Linked DNA regions of Pelodiscus sinensis. The protein of the gene in region 2 interacts with the protein of the main gene of each other region in a pairwise test. Links are inferred from orthologs where the notes say so. Each region holds a gene or a part of one and is shown on either strand. Other genes may lie near its edges.

Region 1 (3,600 bases), on a different chromosome or scaffold from region 2:
GCACTGACACTCTGACCCCAGAACCCAGAGTGGGGGCTCCTTGCCCACTCTGTGGGTGTTCAGAGCCTCCTTTCCCACCCCAGACCCCAGACAACCCCCCTTCCCCCACCCGCCGCCTGTTTGAATTCTGCCTAACTCTTGGCCTCACCAAGACCTAGTGGCGAGGAGTTCCGCTGGTTACTGCTGCCAGGGCTGATGGAGACTCGTCTGGGTGCTATTTAGCACCTGCTGCCTTGTGGCTCCCTTTCTGCTTCTTGCATTGCAGCACAGGAGGAAGAGCAGTGCCCCGCCCCAGGCACCCCTCTGGGAGTCTGTCTGTCCCAGCCCCAGGCACCTCTGTCCTCCAGGACGGACAGCCCTGAGCTAGCAGCATCTCAAGACCCCCTAGCGCACGGAGCCCTGAGCCGCCGGGCTGGGTCCACTGGCATGGACCCCCCTCCTTGCCCCGTGTGACCCCGCTGGGGTCCGCCAGCAGTGAACCCTGCTCCCTGCCCGCCCAGCACCGCCCCCCGTCTCCCGCCCCCTGACCTCCACTCTCCTCCGGCTCCTTGACCATGATGTGGGCGTCCAGGTGCTGCAGCTGGCAGTGCAGCTGGTGCAGTTTGCGGTCGGAGCCGCGCAGCAGGCTCTCCACGCTGGCCAGGTTGCGACGGTCGGTGGTGGCCCGGCGCAGGTTCTCCGCCCCCTCCTTAATCTTCAGCTCCTTGCGGATCTCGCGCCGGATCCGCTCCTTCTCCTCGTCCAGCCGCTGCTGCACGCTGCTGGCCGCCAGGTCGGGGCTGGGCTCCAAGGCCAGCTGCTCCAGCACCGACCAGACCTGCTCGCCCTGCAGGGGAGAGAGCAGGTGAGGGGGCCCTGCAGCGCCCAGCCCTGCCCGCCTCCTCCGCTGCCCCCCTCCGGCCTCCTCCTCAGCTGCCCCCTCGTGCCCTCCTCCTCGGCTACCCCCTGCTGGCCTCCTCCCTGCCACCCACATCCTCAGAGGCCTCCTGCCAGCCCCCTTGGTGCTCCCCAATAGTCCCTCTCTGCCACCCCCCTCTATAGCTGCCCCCCAACAGCCCCTTGACAGCCACCTTTACAACTGCCCCTACAGCTCCTTCCCTGGCCCCCCACCTGCCTCTCCTGAACCATGCCTCTGCTGGCGCACTGACCCCTCACTTCCCCCCATGCGGATGGACTCCCCCATCCTAGCCCCCTGCCCTGGCTGGGAAAGGGGCTAGGGGTTCCCGGACAGGGCTCAGCCGGAGGAGCGAACGTGATGCAGCCACCACATCAAGGGAATGCAGCTGGCACACCGGAAGGGCGCAAGGGGCTGGCCCTCTGTGCCCAGCAGGCAGGGCTGGTAGTTCGGGGCTGATCTGGGTGCATCTGTCCCTGGTCAGACCCTCATGGGCTGCCGAGCTCACGGAGGGCAGGGAGCTTGGGGCTGACTGGCTCCTCTACAGACAGGCTGCACTCCCAGCGCTCAGCCCCGAAGTGCCCCAGCTGGGGCATGCTTGGCCACTCATCCTAGAGCCCAGCGGGCACGAGATCCAGCCACAGCAGCCCTGGGCCTCGGCTCCCCCATCCGGGAACTGGGAGACCAACCCGGGTCTCTTCCCCAGGGAGGAGGAGGGGGAATCCCAGTCGGGTTGGCAGTGCCTGGCCCAATGGGAGCAGGGCGATGCCTGTCGGGCTCGGAGCAGCCTCTGGCACCATGACGGGGCACTGGGGCGGGGTGATCCCAACGGGGGCCCTACTGAATGAGGACAGCACCAGCATCCCCACACTCCGGGCTGGGCCAGGATCTCTGGGGAGGAGTCCGGGGGCTGGAAATCTGCCTCCAGGATGTTCCCAGGGAGCCCCATGAGCTCCCGGCTCCCCTTGCAGGCCTGGCAGATTTCCACCGCCCGCACCCCCGGGACGAGGCGCCTTGGTTAACGTCACCCCGGGGAGCCGCCCTGGCTCGGGGGAGGGGGGCTGGCTAGAAGATGTCAGGGGGGCCTAGATGGGAGTTGAACCGTCCCTTCCTCTCTGCCCCTCCCCCTCGGCAGCTTGCAGGCAGCTGGCGCAGCAGCAGCCATGGCGGGGAAGGAAACGTACTCTGCCCCCTGCATGGTGCACCAGCCCCACCCCGGTTCTCAGGCCCGCCCAGCGCCCTGCCATGCAGAGCTCTAGGACCAGCTGATTCCCCTGCGCCCCCCAGTCTCTGCAGGCAGCACCAGCCCTCCCTGTGAGTCCCCCCCCAACCCCACCGGCCCTTTGCCATGGCTGGGCCACCGTCCCTGTCTCCACTGTGCCAGAGCAGCGGGCTGGGGCAATTCACATCCCCGTGGGGCCCCCACCCAGCCAGGTACCTCCAGATCTTGCTCAGAGCAGGAGTCTGACTCCGACATCCTGGCCCGGGGGGATCCAGGCCAGGCCAGGCCCCGTCCGTCCTTGGGTCTGAGCTGGGCGACACCCCCCTCCTGTTGTTCGGAGTCTAGCCCCCCCCACCATATCACAAAACCACTTCCCCTTCCTGCACCTCACAGCACTGCCTCCCGCCACCCGAGCGCTGCTGGACCCGCCCCCGCCCGGCCTGGGCCCAAGGGGTTAACGGGAGTGAGAGCCCCCCAGAGCCAGGCTGAGCTTGGGACTGACTCGCACATGCCCCCAGGGAGACCCCCTGTGCTCCAATCTCCAGGGACCATACACCCCCACCCCCCAGAAGCTTCCCAGACCATCTCTTGAGTCATCCCAAACCACACGCCCTGGCGCTGCTGCCCCCAAATGCTGCACACTGGGCCCCCTGACAGGGGCCAAGCTCCCCCTAAAAACACCCCAGGGCAGAGCCTCCAGGCCCCAAAACTGGGACGTTCATACATGGATGTCTGCTGAACAGCCCCTGCGCCCCACCCCAGAGGTGGCTGCATCTCAGCACCAGGTGAGGGATCCCCAGAGGCTGGTGGGGGGCACTCTCTCTTCACCCTGATCAACTCAGTACTCGAGACTCACCAGCCCTGAGCTGCCCCGGGGCAGGCAGCTTTCTCCTGCCATTGACCCGGAGCAGGGCCGGCGCCCGCACGGTGTGGGAGGGGCAGCATCCTCCCCTGTGCGACCACCCTGCTCCCTCCTGCTACCAGAGTTCTGGGGGGTGCTGAGTGTGGGGAGGGGTCAGATTGGGTAACGTGCTGCCCAGTCCCCACCCCGGAGCTTCTGACAGGCCCCAGTAAACAAGGGGCGGGCTCAGCAATGGGCACTGAGCTGGAAGGCAGGACACCCGGGTTCCATTCCCAGAGCCGCTGGGTGACCTGAGCCCCTCCCACCACTCCCAGCAGCACAGCGCCCCCTGGTGTCCCTCTGGGGAACCCCCCTTGAGCTGCCCAACACACCCCTGCAGCACAGCGCCCCCTGGTGTCCCTCTGGGGAACCCCCCTTGAGCTGCCCAACACACCCCTGCAGCACAGCGCCCCCTGGGGTCCCTCTGGGAACCCCCCTTGAGCTGCCCAACCCCCCCTGCAGCACAGCACCCCCTGGTGTCCCTCTGGGGAACCCCTCTTGAGCTGCCCACCCCACCCCTGCAGCACAGCGCCCCCTGGTGTCCCTCTGGGGAACCCCTCTTGAGCTGCCCACCCCACCCCT
Region 2 (3,941 bases):
TTGGAAAGCCTAGATGCAGTCCATTACAGATGTCAGGGAGGACAAGCAGTCTTCTGGTGCTTCAGTTATAGTTCCCTGCATGCTCTCCTTTCCTGACACTCCACTCGCATCTCCTCCAGTAACATATTTCCCCACTCTTTGTGCTGGCAATGCCAGACAATTTACTGCTGGCTTGGTGTGTAAAGGTGCCCACCGTGTAGTATTGAATAAGGCAGGCCTCCCCAGAAACCTTGTGAGAAGGATCAAAGAGTACTTCTATGAGAGTTTCATGGAGATTTGCAAGGAGGATTCCATTGTGCTGTCTCCAAGACACATTAACAAGCTGTTCCGGGCTCTGTTCCAGGCTCTTGCATTGCGTGGCGCACTCTATGCCTACACATCACACTCAACTGCATGAATCTACTTGTAGGAAGGAAAAAATTGTGAACTCACCAGAAGTGCCTTTCCTGGGATCAGTACCCAACTGAGGCACCATGAGAGGAAGGGATTGTCTCCAAGGTTATAAAAAGTTCTTGGCTATTGCCACTTGCCTGCTGACCCTCCTCCTCCACAATGCCACCCTGATTAGTGTCTTGGGAGGATTCCACAGTCTGGCTTGGGAAGCTAGACTTATGATCAAATGCAACAGCTTGTAGAAGTGGCATGTTTACAGCAATGCTCCAGACTATCCATTTGCCTCCTTTGTCTTTTTGGTAGGATTGCTTCAACTCCTTTATTTTCACACGACACTGCTGGGCATCCCTGGTGTATACTTTCTCCTCATTGGACTTTGTGATCCTCACATATATATCTGCATTTCGTTTACTGGTTTACAGCTTCATGAGAACAGATTCCTCTTCCTACATGCTGATGAGGTCCAAGATCTCCTTCACACTTCATGCTGGTGCTCGTCTGAGCCCCTGGGAATAGGAGCTCCTGGAACTAGAACTCATGGAAGTCATGGCCAGGTATACTGCCTGCTCTGAGATGTGCTCGCCATGCTGTCCACACAGGAAATAAATTCAAAGTTTCCTGGGGATTCTCCTGTTCACCTGGAAAGCAGTCTAGCCACAAGTTCTGGCCAGTGTGGTCACAGTGAGGCACTGTGGGATGTCTACCAGAAGCCAAGAACATTGATTTTTGCAACTCTGTGTCTACTGTACCGTAAAGTTGATCGTGCAAGGTTGAATTTAGCGTTATTCCTCATGAAAAGCAGGAGTATCAAAATAGACTTTAGCATCCCTTAAAGTTGATGGAATGGGCTTGGTAGTATGAACTCACTGTTTAAAAAAAAATCAGCCTTATGCAGCTAAATTCGACCTAAATGCCCAGTGTAAGCCAGTTCTGAGAGGTAGTTTCATTATTGTAAGATAAAGAGTTTTACAGAACTTCACACTCACAGAAGCATCTATGAAACTTTAGACATTTATCACTTAAAGTAGTTGTGTGTTCAGAGCATTTAAACAGTGTAATTCACCTACAGTACTGAAGGCTGATGAGCAAATATATAGCAAAAAGGTTACTATACAATTACACTGCAACCTTCATGTCTGAAGACAGTCATAAGTAACAAGAAAAGCAACTAAAAATCCTCTAACACACCTCAGCACTTAGTTTACAACTATTTATATAGCTACAGCATGTAAAATTCAGAGGAATGTTTAAGGGATGTAAGATATCAAGTCTTTAAGTAAGCACCTACAGAAGGGCTCCTTTAGTTTTCACCCATAGAGGACTAGAAGGTGGTGTAGGTTACATTAACCCTTCAAGTGAAGTCAAGGAAAGGACAGAACTAAACAAAGCCACAGGAAACAATCAAAGGGAGAAGAAAGGAGAGGCAGAGAAAAGATACTTCCCCCGCCCGGCAAGGGGATGGGCATCCAGAGGTGATGAAAGGGTGAAAGATAAGAGGCCCCATCCTGCCCTAAGCCTCTCTTGAACCCCCAACCCTCACTCTTGCATTGCCTTCTCTCACTCCTTCCTGCACGACCTCCCGCCACATCCCCAAGGCTCTGCCCTGAGTCCTGCACATTCTACACCACCATCTGATTATGGGAACAATTTGGGAAATAAGCATTAGACACACTGCATTGTAATGTTATTTTCTAGTATTAGACACAACATGATGTTCTTAAAATGAAAAAAAGTTATTTCCATGAATTTGTACATTGCTTTAAAATCCCAAGTAGCAAATTGTGCATCAGGTTAACTGTATGTTGTAAACTTCGTTTCCCTCATCCCCAAATACCTTTTTGGGGAACTGAAGAAGTATTTCACCCCGACCACTGAAGCTATACAGATTCACAAACGACACCAACACACGTACAGAGTTTCACTCGGGAGAAATACCATTGGCTTTCAATGTGTAACTGCTGGCACTTGTGGCACTTGCAAGACATGCGCTGTCCACTCACAGCTGTCACAAGCCAATCACACAGGGAGAGTAAAAGAGAACCTGCTCTGGAGCCCACTGCTATCAAACATAGCCCAGCCCCCGCAAATACCCCCAGGCTGCCCGCGCGCTCGTTAGCAGGGAAACACACTAGATACAGGTGGGAATAAAACTGGTGAAAGAGTCACCCCTGCTCCTCGGGGTGTGCTCCCTCCAGGCTACTTGGGAGACTGGCTTCGCCCAGGGGCCCCTCCCCTCCCCCACAGCTCCGTCCCGCCCCTCAGCGCCCCTACTCCCCACCGCGCCCCTCTCCCTCCCCCGGCCGCCACAGCCCCCGCGCCTACCTTGGCTTTCCCGGCCTCCAGTTTCTTCCGCCGCTCCTCGTCCTCCATGGCCCCTGCGCAGAGAACAGAGCGTCACCGGCCCGCCCCGCTACAGCGCCAGGAGCCTCCGTGGCGGACCCACCGGCGCCGCCATCTTCAGCTCCACGTAACCACGCGCGGCCGGGGAAAGTGACGTCCGCGTCGCCGCCGCCGCCTCCCCGCCCAGCCCCGCTGCTCCTGGCAGGTGCGGCCGAGAGCCCCGCCCCCCTTCGGGCCGCCCTGATAACGGGAGCCGTGGCAGGACAGGGGGGCGTGACGCTCCTGACCGCCCCCTTCGAGACTCCTGCCCTCCCAGGGACCCCCCATGCCCCGCCCCCCATCTGCAGGCATCCACCCCCGAGACGCCTGCCCCCTCCCCAGGCACTGACAGGCCGGGACCCCGACCCTCGCGCCCACTGACGGGGGCCGATCTCCCCCCTCTCCTCTAAGAGACACGGACACCTTCCCCTCCCCACTCACTCGCCTGGGAGAGGAATGCGAACCCGCTCCCTATGACACACTGCCCTTCCCCCAACACACTGGCGCTGGGGGATGCCTATTGTCATTTTAAAAATGTAAAGTACATTTTTTATTCGGACTAAGTGTTTGCAAACTGAATGCTGCTACAGTATTTATTTTTGCAATATTGTTTTTCCAAATGTTACCTTTAAAAAGAGGAACGTTTCCTTGTTACCTATTCCTGAAGTTGATTCAATGATGGGAACATGTTACATTGCAAATTGTCTATCCCCCCCGCCCGCCTTCTATATGCCATGTGCGGTGTTTGTCCCGGAAATCCTAACAATCAAGTCGGCAAGGTATTTGTGCATTATGTACCATGCAAAGGTGATGCCTATATTTGTAAGAGTAGGCTCCATGTCTGCTGTTCATATCATGTATATTTCATGCATCAGCCGTTTTAATAGGTTTTGTTTGGTAAAGAATCACTAGGGGGCTGTTCTGTTGGCTCCTATGCTCACCAACCCCCTCTCTCTGGGAGTAGGCAGCCCTGACTCCCTCTGCCACAGTTGGCTTCCCAGTTGTGTGAGCCTCAGCTGGCCTGGGGGCAGAAAGGAGGCAGCCTGTGTGAGCCGGGCTGGCTCTTGGTTTGGAGACCAGGCTCAGCATGGGGTGGTGCTGACCACGGGGTGGGGGACCGGTTGCTTTTGGCTGAGGGAGGGGGAAGGGAAACACATGTGTGCAGATCT

The links. The genes of interacting proteins can lie anywhere in the genome.
Region 1: the proteins of AKAP9 (region 2) and PKN1 interact in a two-hybrid assay, tested with the Homo sapiens proteins (2 studies listed by BioGRID). The link is inferred for Pelodiscus sinensis from reciprocal best matches to the Homo sapiens genes AKAP9 and PKN1.

The regions. Positions count from the first base shown.
Region 1 is NC_134729.1:10,472,202-10,475,801, reverse strand, and holds the start of PKN1 (serine/threonine-protein kinase N1), read right to left. Parts: upstream 2,490-3,600; 5' UTR 2,373-2,489; coding exon 2,334-2,372; intron 827-2,333; coding exon 529-826; intron 1-528. UniProt on the Homo sapiens protein: PKC-related serine/threonine-protein kinase involved in various processes such as regulation of the intermediate filaments of the actin cytoskeleton, cell migration, tumor cell invasion and transcription regulation.
Region 2 is NC_134712.1:214,228,853-214,232,793, forward strand, and holds the start of AKAP9 (A-kinase anchor protein 9), read right to left. Parts: upstream 2,940-3,941; 5' UTR 2,764-2,939; coding exon 2,716-2,763; intron 2,673-2,715; exon of another isoform or gene 1-2,672. UniProt on the Homo sapiens protein: Scaffolding protein that assembles several protein kinases and phosphatases on the centrosome and Golgi apparatus. Required to maintain the integrity of the Golgi apparatus. Required for microtubule nucleation at the cis-side of the Golgi apparatus.